Arabidopsis thaliana: one gene and its partner. The protein of the gene in region 2 purifies or fractionates together with the protein of the main gene of each other region. This does not show direct contact. Each region holds a gene or a part of one and is shown on either strand. Other genes may lie near its edges. The genes, in order: PMH1 and DEL1.

Evidence for each region.
Region 1: the proteins of DEL1 (region 2) and PMH1 purify together in Arabidopsis thaliana (affinity purification with mass spectrometry, with the first as the bait; one large-scale study listed by BioGRID). This does not show direct contact.

Annotation. Positions count from the first base shown.
Region 1 is NC_003074.8:7,884,909-7,891,232, reverse strand, and holds PMH1 (putative mitochondrial RNA helicase 1), read right to left. Parts: upstream 3,958-6,324; 5' UTR 3,852-3,957; coding exon 3,423-3,851; intron 3,323-3,422; coding exon 3,195-3,322; intron 3,107-3,194; coding exon 2,695-3,106; intron 2,562-2,694; coding exon 2,463-2,561; intron 2,361-2,462; coding exon 2,136-2,360; intron 2,055-2,135; coding exon 1,893-2,054; intron 1,805-1,892; coding exon 1,427-1,804; 3' UTR 1,080-1,426; downstream 1-1,079. Other genes in the region: NRPB5 (Eukaryotic rpb5 RNA polymerase subunit family protein), read left to right, coding at 63-188; RPS10 (ribosomal protein S10), read right to left, coding at 4,620-5,003, 5,155-5,496; AT3G22290 (Endoplasmic reticulum vesicle transporter protein), read right to left, coding at 5,973-6,040, 6,125-6,244.
Region 2 is NC_003074.8:17,781,399-17,788,038, forward strand, and holds DEL1 (DP-E2F-like 1), read left to right. Parts: upstream 1-1,932; 5' UTR 1,933-2,242; coding exon 2,243-2,376; intron 2,377-2,453; coding exon 2,454-2,521; intron 2,522-2,610; coding exon 2,611-2,663; intron 2,664-2,747; coding exon 2,748-2,825; intron 2,826-2,935; coding exon 2,936-2,989; intron 2,990-3,080; coding exon 3,081-3,192; intron 3,193-3,354; coding exon 3,355-3,422; intron 3,423-3,513; coding exon 3,514-3,589; intron 3,590-3,696; coding exon 3,697-3,758; intron 3,759-3,855; coding exon 3,856-4,261; coding exon of another isoform or gene 4,262-4,290; exon of another isoform or gene 4,291-4,324; intron 4,325-4,347; coding exon 4,348-4,448; 3' UTR 4,449-4,762; downstream 4,763-6,640. Other genes in the region: APC8 (anaphase-promoting complex subunit 8), read right to left, coding at 306-618, 1,082-1,167; ALDH10A9 (aldehyde dehydrogenase 10A9), read right to left, coding at 4,892-4,982, 5,132-5,238, 5,338-5,398, 5,486-5,637, 5,725-5,802, 5,934-6,047, 6,491-6,567. UniProt on the Arabidopsis thaliana protein: Inhibitor of E2F-dependent activation of gene expression. Binds specifically the E2 recognition site without interacting with DP proteins and prevents transcription activation by E2F/DP heterodimers.

The DNA of each region.
Region 1 (6,324 bases), 9.9 Mb from region 2:
ATTCTTGGTGATGAAATTTTTGTTGTGTTATTAAATGTTTGGAACTTTGTGGGTGTTGTTAGCTTCCAAGGATCCAAGTGACTGATCCAATCGCAAGATACTTTGGACTAAAACGTGGGCAAGTCGTGAAGATCATTCGTCCGAGTGAAACGGCTGGTCGTTATGTTACCTATCGTTATGTTGTATAAGCCAAAGCAAAAGGCTTTTGTGGATTGTAATGCGAATTGAACGCTGAGAGTTGTGAAACATAAGAGTAATGCTTTTGTACTAAACCAAACTGATGACTGTGTTTTATTTTTGTTTGTCCGATAGGAGAAATTAAAGCTTGAAACAACTTATTTGTATTAGTTTTCTATCCAAAAACTTGCAAGATCCGATTCCGACTTGTTTGTATTTGTTCATCCCAACAAATGCCATATTTTGTTAATAATCTGATTCATCACTTGTTTGTCGATAATCCCCATTCCTTAACACCCTAAAAAGAAAAAAATCGTAAATATCAATTTTTAAAATGTTCAAAACTGATACTTCTTCCAGAGTATTACTGACTTCAGATCAGCTGTGGATGAGTGTTGACGGTTGTACAGGCGCCGTTCTTGAGTTTTTTTCAAAATGTCTCCAAATGGAGAAGCTGGGGGATGGTGTTGAGATGGCTACCATTGATTTGCATGCCCTTGTGGGTGGTGTTGACTGTTTTACTCATCTCAATGATTCTTATACCACCACCTGAACGCCTTTCAACGTTTATGGGATCTCAGCTTTGTAACCCTCAGAATCACCAAGTATGTGTACAAGAACCCGTTCTTGGGCCTATAAGACTGGATGAAACTAAATCTGGATTCACTGCAAAGGGGATCACACCCAAGGAGCTTGGTATTATTATGCTAGCTATGCAGAGCCAAGCCTTTTCGTTCAGCAGCTAGTTGCATGCTCTTGCTATGCAGTGCATCAAGTTTTGCGAAATGAAGGCTAATTAGTTGTGAAACATAAGAGTAATGCTTTTTGTAGTGAACAATAATTGTCGACTGTGTTTTATTTTTGTTGGTCAGATATGAGAATTAAAGCTTAAAACAATTTTTCTTGTGTATGGTTCTACCAAAAACTTGCAAGATCTAACAAGAAATCAAAACTAGGGATGATTTGAATCTTTGATCAACCACATTATTTCCTTTTCTCACAATCTAACAAGATTCATAAATGGAAGTGGCGAAGTAAGGGAAACACATTTCACTCAAATTGAGAAATAAAAATGAATTAGAGGATATGAAATAATGATATAACTTATGTTGGTTTATGAGACAAGAAGTAGCTACAGAATTTATATATAGCTCGACTCCTTGTAAACTACTCAACTCGAGATACCGAGTTCTCTCCTAAGTCAACTCCATTATTGCTGAGTCGGGTCAAAACCAACACAACACTTCTCTCAGTAAGATCTTTTACCATCGTTTGATCCAAACCCACCAAAGCTGCTCCTTCCACTTGACTGAGAAGAACGGTCTGAACCAAATCCTCCTGAAGAACCGCCTGAACCAAAGCTTCCGAAACCAGATGAGCGGTCTGAACCACCAGAGTAACGGCTGCTTGATCCCCCTGAACCTCCATAACTACCACCACCACCACCTGAACGGCCACTGCTGCCACCATAACCTCCATAACTACCACCACCTGAACGGCCACTGCTGCTACCGTAACTACCATACCCACCACCGCCTGATCGACCTCCTCCGAACGACCCACCAGATCTAGCACCTACTCCTTCAAACATGCTTGCGCTTCCTCTTTCCACAGCAATGCTAGGCAGCTGAATTCAAAACCAAATAGATTCAGAACTGTTTGTTACCCAAGCTATTCATACAAAAGATACAAAGGTGGTAAAGAAAGATATTAACCTCATTGAATCTGCTTCCGACTTCTTTCTCAATCATTTTAACAGCCCTGGTTTGATCTTGACCGTGGATGAGAATCGCGCTTCCTTTCTTTCCAGCACGACCAGTTCGCCCCGTTCGGTGAACAAACGTCTCCGTGTTATTAGGAAGCTCATAATGAATTACCTGTACACAAAGCACAATACAGGTTAATAAAATGAGAAACAGAACTAGTTAAGCGCAAGAAAAGGTATTGTTTTCACTCACTAAATCGACATTAGGTACATCAAGTCCACGGGCAGCAACATCAGTTGCAACAAGAATACTGAAATTCCCATCCCTGAAACCAGCAAGTGTTCTTTCTCTCTGAGCTTGAGATATGTCACCGTGTAAAGCTTCACATTTATAGCTTTTTGCCAATCCAAATGCAAGGCGATCTGCATCACGTTTTGTTTGGGTAAAGACAATGCATTTTCCTCCTTTGCCATGTTCCTGTAAAGGAGAAGATGTTATAAAATCACGACTGGAAACAAAAATGAAGAATCAAAACAAGATACAGATAATTGGCTTAAAAGCAAAGTAAAGAAAACATACCTTTACAAGAGGACCAATGATGGATGCTCTTCCATAAGAATCTGCAGCGATAGAATACATAGTAATCCCATCTGCAAGTTTCTGATCTGAATCTCCAACCTAAATTACATAAGAGTACATGTGTCATTAAAAAATGTCACTTCATTAACTACACTGCTACAGCCAAGATCAATATTTGCAATTTGTACAGCAATTCTAAGATATAAACACAAGCAGGTATAAGACTACTCACAAGATCAATTGTCAAAGGATTGTTCAGGTACTTCTTGGTGAGAGATCTGATCCAACTTGGCATTGTTGCAGAAAACATCATACTCTGACGCTTCGCTGGCAACTTCTGCAATATTATTTCAACATCTTCCGCAAATCCAACTTGAAGCATCTGATCAGCTTCATCAAGAACCACAAACTGAACCTCTGATAGATTCAAAGCTCCCCTTTTCATCAGATCAATGATACGACCAGGAGTTCCAACCGCCACATCAATACCATAGTTCAGCTCCCTCATTTGTTGCCCGATTGGTGTACCTCCATAGAGACAAATAGTATCCAAACTTGGAGCAGATTCCCTGAACTCTTTCTCAACCTGACGAGCAAGCTCCCTCGTCGGTGCCAAAACCAAGCACTGAGGATTCTTCCCACGACTGTCACATCAAAAGACAACATAAGAACCAAAGGAAGTGCAAATCTCTCAATCACAAATGATCGTTATATATAACAGTAAACACAAACCCATGTTTAGCGTTGAATTTGATGATTTTGTCAATAATAGGAATCCCAAAAGCAAGTGTCTTTCCCGTTCCAGTCCTTGCACGGCCAATCATATCACGACCCTCCATCGCTGGCTCCAACACAGCTTTCTATTCAACCAAACACAAACATCAAAAACTCAGTTAAAAAAATCTAAACTTTTAATTGATCTCTATAACCAAATGGAACAGAGAAGAAGATCATATATACCTGAATAGGAAAGAGTTTCTCAATACCCCTACCCTTCAAAGCTTTAACAATCTCCGGAGATATACCAAGATCAGCTATCGCAAGCCCATCACCACCACCGCTGCTACCAACACTCTCCGAATCTCCAATCCCTCCATCGTTCTCATAAGAAGGAGCATACTCTTGAGCCGCGAATCCCGCAGAAGAAACAATCGACGATCTAAACTCCGACGGTACAGATTTAACATGAAAGTCTCTCACTTTAACACCAAAAGGGCTCGAATTCGAAGGGAGAGACTTGACATTAGTAGCTCCATTTGCTAGATCGGAGACTGTGGCGGCGGCTGGAGCAAGGTTATGAAATAGAGCTGCGTTAATGGAGGTCACCGAAGCGGCGAGAGTACGCCTTGACGTACCAAGGATAGATCGGCGAAGTACTGTGCTAATCATTTTCAGATTTCAGAGAGTGTGATGGATTCTGGTGAAGATGAAATGTGAAACCCCAGAAATGAGAATTAGGGTTTTAGGGAGACGGCAAAAGGGTTTAGAGATTTAAGAAGAAGAATCAAAGGCGGGTATAAAGGGAACTTTGTTATAATCACCTGCGGGTGAGTGTATGGTATGTTCCTACACGTGCAAGCTTGTGTAAGGAAACAGAGTTGATTATTATTTTTTGCTTGAGCCCAAAGGTGTTCTTGAATGTGAAGCAAAGAGTTAATGAGTTCTGTTTTTTGTAACTTTGTGTAGTGTGGCAAATTGGCAATAGCTCAGGTTCGGAATCAGATCTATCAAATTAACCTATACCATATGTCTCAAATCATTAGTGATTATGTACAATGTAAAAGTCTTAGAATTGCCTAATGAATGAATACACCTAAAATGTGAGCTCTTGGATCCTTAAAGTTCGACATCATTCCATGGTCGGGTCAAAGGTTTCTATAACTTCTCAAAATGACACCTTTAGCAGTCTAAATGTGTCTCAATCCTTGGTGATGTATAAAGACTTTGATTGGCTAATGAATAAATGGAAAGCACTGTAACTGAAACTCAATTGTATCTTTCAAAATCGTCCAAAAACACATGTTTATACTAAGCAAGAAAATAACTACTTGATCTGATGTGAAGCAAAGCTGGTTTCATGGATCCGTAAGGTTCGAAATTATTGCATAGTACCCGGTTGGGTCTTGAAACTTCTACAAAATGATGTCTTTAGCCATCTCAGTAAGCATTGGTGGTGGAGCCATTGATGTTGCCTAACACTTGAGTCATATCCAAACGGGTCTTGCAATGGAACTGGAGTTCATATTGAGCTCCAAGAATACGATAACGTTTTAACCAAAACAGCTTCTTGCTCAACTCATGACTCTGAGCTTTGATGACAAGAAACCGTTTCTTGAACCTCATCTCAAACTGTTCTCTAGACTTCTTATCGACGTGAGGCGATCTTAGCACCGTGTACAGAGTTCGTGTATCGGGCATTGCGACTTTACGAGTGTGAGGAGGAAGACACCAAGCTTGCTTTTCCGGGTTAACAAAAGACCGAATCGCTATACAAATCTTTGTTCCTTTTATCTTTGATGTGCTTTCTTCTGCTGCCTCTTTCTACAATTCAACCCCAAACACACAACAACAACAACATAAACAACAGTTCTAAATCATTTCAATGAATTTCACATTCCGATTCCTATTCGAATTTGAATCTGATGAAGCACTTTGAATAATATTCTATGAATTTGAACAAAAATGCATATACCTGGAGAGCGATCTCCTTCCTACTCAATGGTCTGACATTGTCTGGAGAAATTTTAATCTTAGCTTTCTTAATCTCGTTTTTGCGATCCTTTGTGACAGTGGCGTAACCTTGTGACGCGATTCCTGCGGGAACAATCATCGACGGCTCAGATCTAATGTGGATGTTCCTCGCTCTGATGCCAAACGAGTTAGGAGACGACGCGAGAGTGAATCGAGAGCTGACGGAAGCTCCGGTGGTGGCTGGAGTGAGATTGTGCGAAATACACGAATTGAAGGAGGCTAACGCGGCGGAGAGAGTCTGCCTCGACGGGAGTGAAGATCGGCGCAATACTCCGGCGATCATTTTCAGATTCAACGGTGAGACGAAGAAATGACGACGAGAGATTGAAGGAAATCTGAAAAACCCCAAATTAGGGTTTCAGTGAAAGAGTAAGCGAAATCAGAGAGAATTGTGAGGACAGGATCACCTGTGACGAGTGTACGTTATCTTACGGTGAGCTACAGTATAATTTTGTTTTTTTACTGAGACAAGTGAAAAGATGCAAAAATGTTAAAATCCCAGGAAGCAAGGTGAATAAAAATTACAAATTAACTCTACTAGTTTAACCAGAGATAATCAGAGTAATACATAAGAGAGACTCAAAAAAAAACTATATCCATGGATTCTAGAGTTTCTGAGTAATGTAATCATCAATCCTGGAATCTCTGGTGGGTGTTGTTGTCTGAAGAAGGCAGATACAAGTTTTGGGATTTGAGAGATTCTTCTTCCTTCCTTTGGTTTTTTTTGTTTCTCATTGTTTTGTCTCTGTTTCAGCTAGTTTACGCTCTAGTACTCGGCTTCTTGTTGAAAGATTCAATAAAGCGGAACATCCAACGATCTAACATTCCTGTTTTAAGGTATGAGATAAACTATATTAGGCAAAAGATTTTGAAAGATTGAGTATTGGAGGCAAGACTGAGATGGGACTAACCTGTCAAAGCAAATGTACCGCCTAATACAGCGCAAAGACGAGTGATTAAGTGGAGAAAACTACGGCGTTCTTCCTTGATGGTCACAGTGATAGGTGAAAGATCATATAAGAAGTAAACAGCTGGAAGAAAAAAAGATACATCAGAAAACAGAAAGAGAGTAATAAGAACCAGGTGCATACTGGAAATGAAGTTTGATCGA
Region 2 (6,640 bases):
TCCAATTAAGTTTCACTCATTTATTTACTTTTGTATATCAGTTGCATACCCTCATATCTCTTGTATCATAGAACATAACTGTGACTGGACATCAACAAAATTGTGAATCAGAGGCTCAGTCCTATAAGTTTGTAATAACGTCCATATATTGCATTTATTTGAAGGCAGCCTACTGGCCGAGGCTAAAAGAACACTCAAAAGCATTTTGGAGCCAACTTTTAAAAAGTTCATTCCATCACCCTATTCTGATAAGATATAAAAGCTCTAGCTAAATAGAAAATAGGAGATAGAGAAACAGAACATACCAGATAAAGCGCATAGTAACGCAAGAACAGTGATTTCTTGCTCACTTGGTCACGAAGCATATGGGAGGCCCGTCTATACTCTCGACAATCAAAATAGGACTTTGCTAAAAGGTAAATGTCACCATCAATCGCTTCATCTTCTTCCGGGAGAGGAGTAGCTGCTTGAGAGAAGCCAACGGAAGGTAACGGTGTTGAAATAGATTCATTGGTGCTGAACCTTCTCCGGATGCTAGAGCTTCCTCGCTGAAACCTCGTATTCGCAGGTGTAAAATTAGACGGGTCTTGCTCTATCCCCACAAGCTGCTCTCCTGCCCTGCAATGATGAAAGCAAAGGAGATATCAAATATGGAACTGACTAATAGTTCACCACCATTGAACTACAATACGAGTACTAAAAACTGAAACTTTAACTCATAATTCACAAATTAGTGTCGAGCTCAAACATATCGAAAGATTGAACCGGAGATCAGAAGTTCCCATCGAAAGAACACATTTTTTCAATTAGTGTCGAGCTCAAACATATCATAACACAAAACCCACATGTCGAATCATCTGAATTGGAATGTATCCAACACCAAATTCGCAACAAAAGTGAATTCGAATCAACGAATCTGCTTAACCAAATTTGTTTACAATTAGCCCAGGATACAAAAAAATTAGTAAAACCCATAAAGGATAGTGAAAAAATCGATTTTTAATCGAACCAGAGCAGTAGCGAGCTAGAGATTGCAACAATGGGAGAGGTTGAATAAGATTAGGGTTTTGAGAAAACGAACCACTTTGCGGCGGAGTATAAACAGCGGTCGCTAAGCTGTCGAATAGCCGCACGTATTTCGTTTCGGCAACACTCTTTAGAGACCATAGCAGAAGCAGAAACTGAGAGTTTAACTTTAAGTATTCAAAAAAGAATCGAAGAATCTCTTCTTCGTCGTGGAGAGAGATTTCAGAAACATTTGCTCCCTCCATCTTAATTATTTTGAAATTTACAGAGAGATCGTGTGTATTGGGCCCATTGATTAACTTTTGGGTTTCAAAATAGGCCCATGAAACTAACATACACACACACACAAAAACTCTTTACACAACTAATTTTAATATCATATCAATTTTGTCACTTTGTATTAATTTCTGTTAGGTATCAATGAATTATTGAAAAAGTGTAAAAATAAAATAAGAATGCAATTTTTTTTTTTTTGTTTTGTCAACAACTTTAAATTAATTGGTTTAGCTCAAATGAGTAAGACCAAAGGTATGCAAAACTATTATAGAAAAAAAAATCTTAGTTGGACAAAATAACCTTTTGTTTTGGTCAATAGAAATTTTTAATGGTAAGACTATAATTTAGTCAAAGATAGACCCTGATTTTGCTTATGCAAGTAGTTAAACACTATCATGAATCTACCATTTTAAGGGCATTACTCTTTACAAGATTACAAATCAAAAGATTTAATCTTTCCAAAACCAAACAAACCATACCAAACCAAAAACAAATTCAGACCAAATCACTTTTAAATCCTACAAAACCAAAATCCCCTTACAACTTTACTTTTTGAGTTCAAGTAAAAAGATAGATATCCAAAATAGATCTTGTTACTATAATATTGATTGAAAATGTATTATTTTGGTTAATGTAATCTAATTTTGGAAAAGAAAAATGAAAAAGTTGAACAGAATCCTGAAAATATTGTAAGAAATTTTCTAAACCGAAAAAACAAAAAGACAAAAACCAAAAAATTGCGATCTGAACCGAGCACAAAACCGTAAAGGTTTCAGCTTTACCAAAATTTAGAGGAGTGTGTAAATGTTACGGAGAAGGAGGAGCCAAAAAATTCAAATTGGCGCTCAAGTATCTTGGGAAATTCCCCCTCTCTCTTTTTAGGAAATCCCTCCAAAATACAATATCAAATTCTCAATCGCAGACATCGTTTGCGTCAACCATGTCAGATCTATCGCCAGAAAGATTCAAACTTGCCGTTACTTCTCCTTCTTCCATACCGGAATCTTCTTCGGCTTTACAATTACACCATTCCTATAGTCGCAAACAGAAATCTCTCGGACTTCTTTGTACCAAGTTAGTGCCTTTTTACTAAACCCATTTTATTTATTTGTTGTTGAATTTGTTCTGATTAGTGTTCTTCGTAAACTCAGTTTCTTAGCTTTGTATAATCGAGAAGGGATTGAAATGGTTGGGCTTGATGATGCTGCCTCGAAATTAGGTATTGCCCACTTTGTGTTTGTGATTTTTATTTTCATTTCTGATTTTACATCTTAATTTGTTGATTGGGGTTTTTGGGGTTTATTTCAGGAGTGGAGAGACGAAGAATCTATGATATTGTTAATGTTCTGGAGAGTGTTGGGGTGAGACTTGTTTCTCCACTACTTTGTTTTTTTTCAGAATCCAGAAGTGTTATGTTTGCTTAATTCGAGTTTTGTCTAATTTAGGTTTTAACAAGAAGAGCAAAGAATCAGTATACGTGGAAAGGGTTTTCCGCAATTCCAGGAGCATTGAAGGAGCTACAAGTGAGTCTTTTCATTTGTTTTGTATTCGGATTCAATCCCATTCAATCCCAATTGTGAAGAAATGTAGCGATTTGATTTGCATATTCTCATAGGAAGTGTTCTTGATGTAGGAAGAGGGGGTTAAGGACACTTTTCATCGTTTCTATGTCAATGAGAATGTTAAAGTAAGTCATTTGGATTTGGTTTCTTTTGATATACTTGTGTCTTTAGTTTGTTGTCTTCATACTTCTAATGCTTAAAGTTTCATACTTTCAGGGATCTGATGATGAGGATGATGATGAAGAGTCTTCTCAGCCTCACTCTAGTAGCCAGACTGATAGTTCAAAACCTGGTTCTCTTCCCCAATCTTCAGATCCCTCCAAAATAGGTACTGTTTCATTTTGTGCGTGTAGTACTTATTGTGTTCGGGTTTAGTGCCATTGCAAAGTAGTTAAGTGATTTACCCTCTTGGTAACTCTATATGTGGGATATGAATTATGAGATGCAATGTAGATATCCTAACATTTTGTTGGTTGGTTATGTATGACAGATAACCGACGAGAGAAATCTTTAGGATTGCTTACTCAGAACTTTATCAAACTCTTTATTTGCTCTGAAGTAAGTGAGAAGTTCAAAGATTCGTTTTTTGAACTAAAGAGTTATTCACTAAGTTACTAAAGATTTGTTTTTTATGTGTTCAACTGTTTAGGCTATTAGGATCATCTCCCTTGATGACGCTGCAAAATTACTGCTTGGTGATGCCCACAATACATCAATAATGCGAAGTAATTATCTTCGTCTTGTGACCTGAAAAGTCTTTTCTTTTATGTTAACATCCTCGGTTGAGACAAATCGATCTGTGTTTGTTGACACATTGATTACTTTTATGCAGCTAAAGTGAGGCGGCTTTATGATATAGCAAATGTCTTGTCGTCAATGAATCTCATAGAGAAGGTAAGTCAAAGTTATCAATAGCTACAACAGTTGTGAACCATCTATGATTTCAAGCTGTGATTTAAGTCTTACTAGTTTCTGTATTCTCTGGTGGCAGACTCACACCTTAGATTCTAGGAAACCAGCTTTCAAGTGGTTAGGGTACAATGGTGAGCCTACTTTCACACTGAGCAGCGATTTGTTGCAATTGGAGTCAAGAAAAAGAGCTTTCGGAACTGATATTACAAACGTCAATGTTAAGAGAAGCAAATCATCATCTTCGTCCCAAGAAAACGCTACAGAGAGAAGGCTAAAGATGAAAAAGCACTCAACACCAGAGAGTTCTTATAACAAAAGCTTTGATGTTCATGAATCAAGACATGGATCAAGAGGAGGTTACCATTTTGGACCTTTTGCACCAGGCACTGGTACATATCCAACTGCTGGTTTAGAGGATAACTCTAGGAGAGCTTTTGATGTTGAGAATCTGGATTCTGATTACCGTCCCTCTTACCAAAACCAAGGTGCATATATTTTATTCACATCCATTTGATATCAAACTTGTCAAAATATTGCTATGAAATTAACTCTGTTTCTGAACAAATTTCAGTTTTGAAAGACCTCTTTTCCCATTACATGGATGCTTGGAAGACATGGTTCAGCGAAGTCACCCAGGAGAATCCATTACCTAATACATCACAACACCGTTAGATCTTCTTTTTCTTCTTCTTCTTCTTCTTCTTCTTCTTCTTCTTCTTCTTCTCTTACCTGTGAACATCAATCATCATTCGTGTAGAGAGCTTCAAGAGTCATTTCTTTTGATCAATGTGGTTTAGTTTCTCCACACAATTGTAACTGCAAGAATCCGACATTAATTCACAGATCGCATACCCTCTTTGCTTTCTGAAGTTTACTGTAGGCTGTAACTTTTGTATGTTACATATAAGAGCATTCATCTTTCGCCAGTTTTTTGCTACTTTTGTATGGCATGTTGTTTTGAGAAAAACAAAAAGAAATATCATCTCATCTTATTTTTCATTTTTTTCAAGAATTTAAAGTAGCAATACCATTTCTCTTACAGAAGGGTCTCTTGCTTTATTGGTATATTCTCATGAGTACATGTTTTAAGGAAATATCAGGAACTAGTGTTTGTCTCAGAGCTTGGAAGGAGGTTTGTACCATCCCCATGGTTCATCAGAGATATACTGAGTCACCTGCTTCACACTCAAGTAGTTCTCAAGTCCCCTGCGACGAAGAAAATATGTTTCAATTCAAATTTTGTTGGTAATCTATTACGGTTTAAGTTACTATGGACACAATTCCATCTAGTTGGAGAGTGTCTTTTTCTAATGGTTTGATAATCTTAATACTTATAGCTAACGAAAGAGACTAACCATTCTCCCAATTCACGGCCAAATCCACTGCGTTTGGTTCCACCCCATGGAGCTTGGCAGAAGCATGGCTGAGAGCAGTTGACCCACACTATTCCCGCCTGGAAAGCCTGAAACACACAATGATTACGATTCATAAAACTTTAGAGATTAAGTTCAATCATGAGGTTATTGATTGTTATTGTTGATAGTAAAAGTTAGATACACACCTTACTAACACGATCACACCGCTCCAGATCATTTGATAATACTGCGCCTGCTAATCCATATCTGCAAATACAAATAAAGTCAGGCATATGATCTAACACGTCATCAGTGGAGTTCTACTTCAAGATAAGAAGAGAAATCTACACTCACTGAGAGTCATTTGCAAGCTGAATTGCCTCATCCTCGGTGGAGAATGTTTTCACACACAGAGCAGGACCAAAGACTTCCTCTCTCCAGATTTCCATTGAAGTAGTCACATTTGAAACAATCGCAGGTTCAACAAAGTATCCCTTCTTTAAATGCTGCAGAACATAAATAAAATATTGTAAGTGCTACGGGCTCTAGATAGTATTTGGCACATACATAGAAGATTAGTCAATATAATGTACCTCAGGACGAACTCCTCCACAAAGAACAGTTGCACCTTCATTCCTAGCGTTTGAGACAAACTTTAGAACTCTCTCGTACTGCACAGGAGGATAAATATGTAAGACTTGACTAGAAATCTTTCGTCATTAACCCAAATTGATAGATAAGAGGGTTTTGGAGGATTGAGGTGTTTATTCTTGAGAATGTCAATTCTGTTTAGCAATTTAACCTGTCCTTTACTGACAACAGGACCAAGCCTACAGCCTTCTTCAAAAGGATCTGAAATCTTAATGTTCTTGGTCCACTTTACCAGCTTGTCCAAAAACTCGTCAGCAATCCTTTCCTGACATTTCACCAGATTCTTTCATGAAAACAACAGTACACAAGAAGTATAGTAAAGCTTCGCTATCCTACTTTTATCAAGGGTTCCCAAGGTCCTACGACAACTGATACTTATCAATCTATCCGAATTGCTGATGACCAGTCTTACAGATAAACATATACTGAAACTCTGTACCTTTGCATCGGTGGTTTCATGTAAAAGATAAGTTATATATTCTACTTGTTTTATGACTAGAGTAGCCTACATAATTATAACTTAATTTCCAAAGGTAACCTTTAATTTTACAACATATAATTGTGTTAACGGATAACACATAACTTGTTTTATATGTGTTAACGGATAACACATAACTTGTTTTATATGTGTTAACGGATAACACATATCATGAACAGTTCGGTGCAGAATTTAAAATCAGAGGTACTGTAGATTATAGGCTCACTTACATGCACAAGAAGTCGAGATGTGGCACTACAAATCTGCCCATTCGTCCAGAAACAACCAAACATAGTCCATTCCACAGCTGTTTAGAGCAAAATATTAGTCACAAATTAAACCAGCATTTTAGAATACAAATATATAGCATAGTTTTCTTA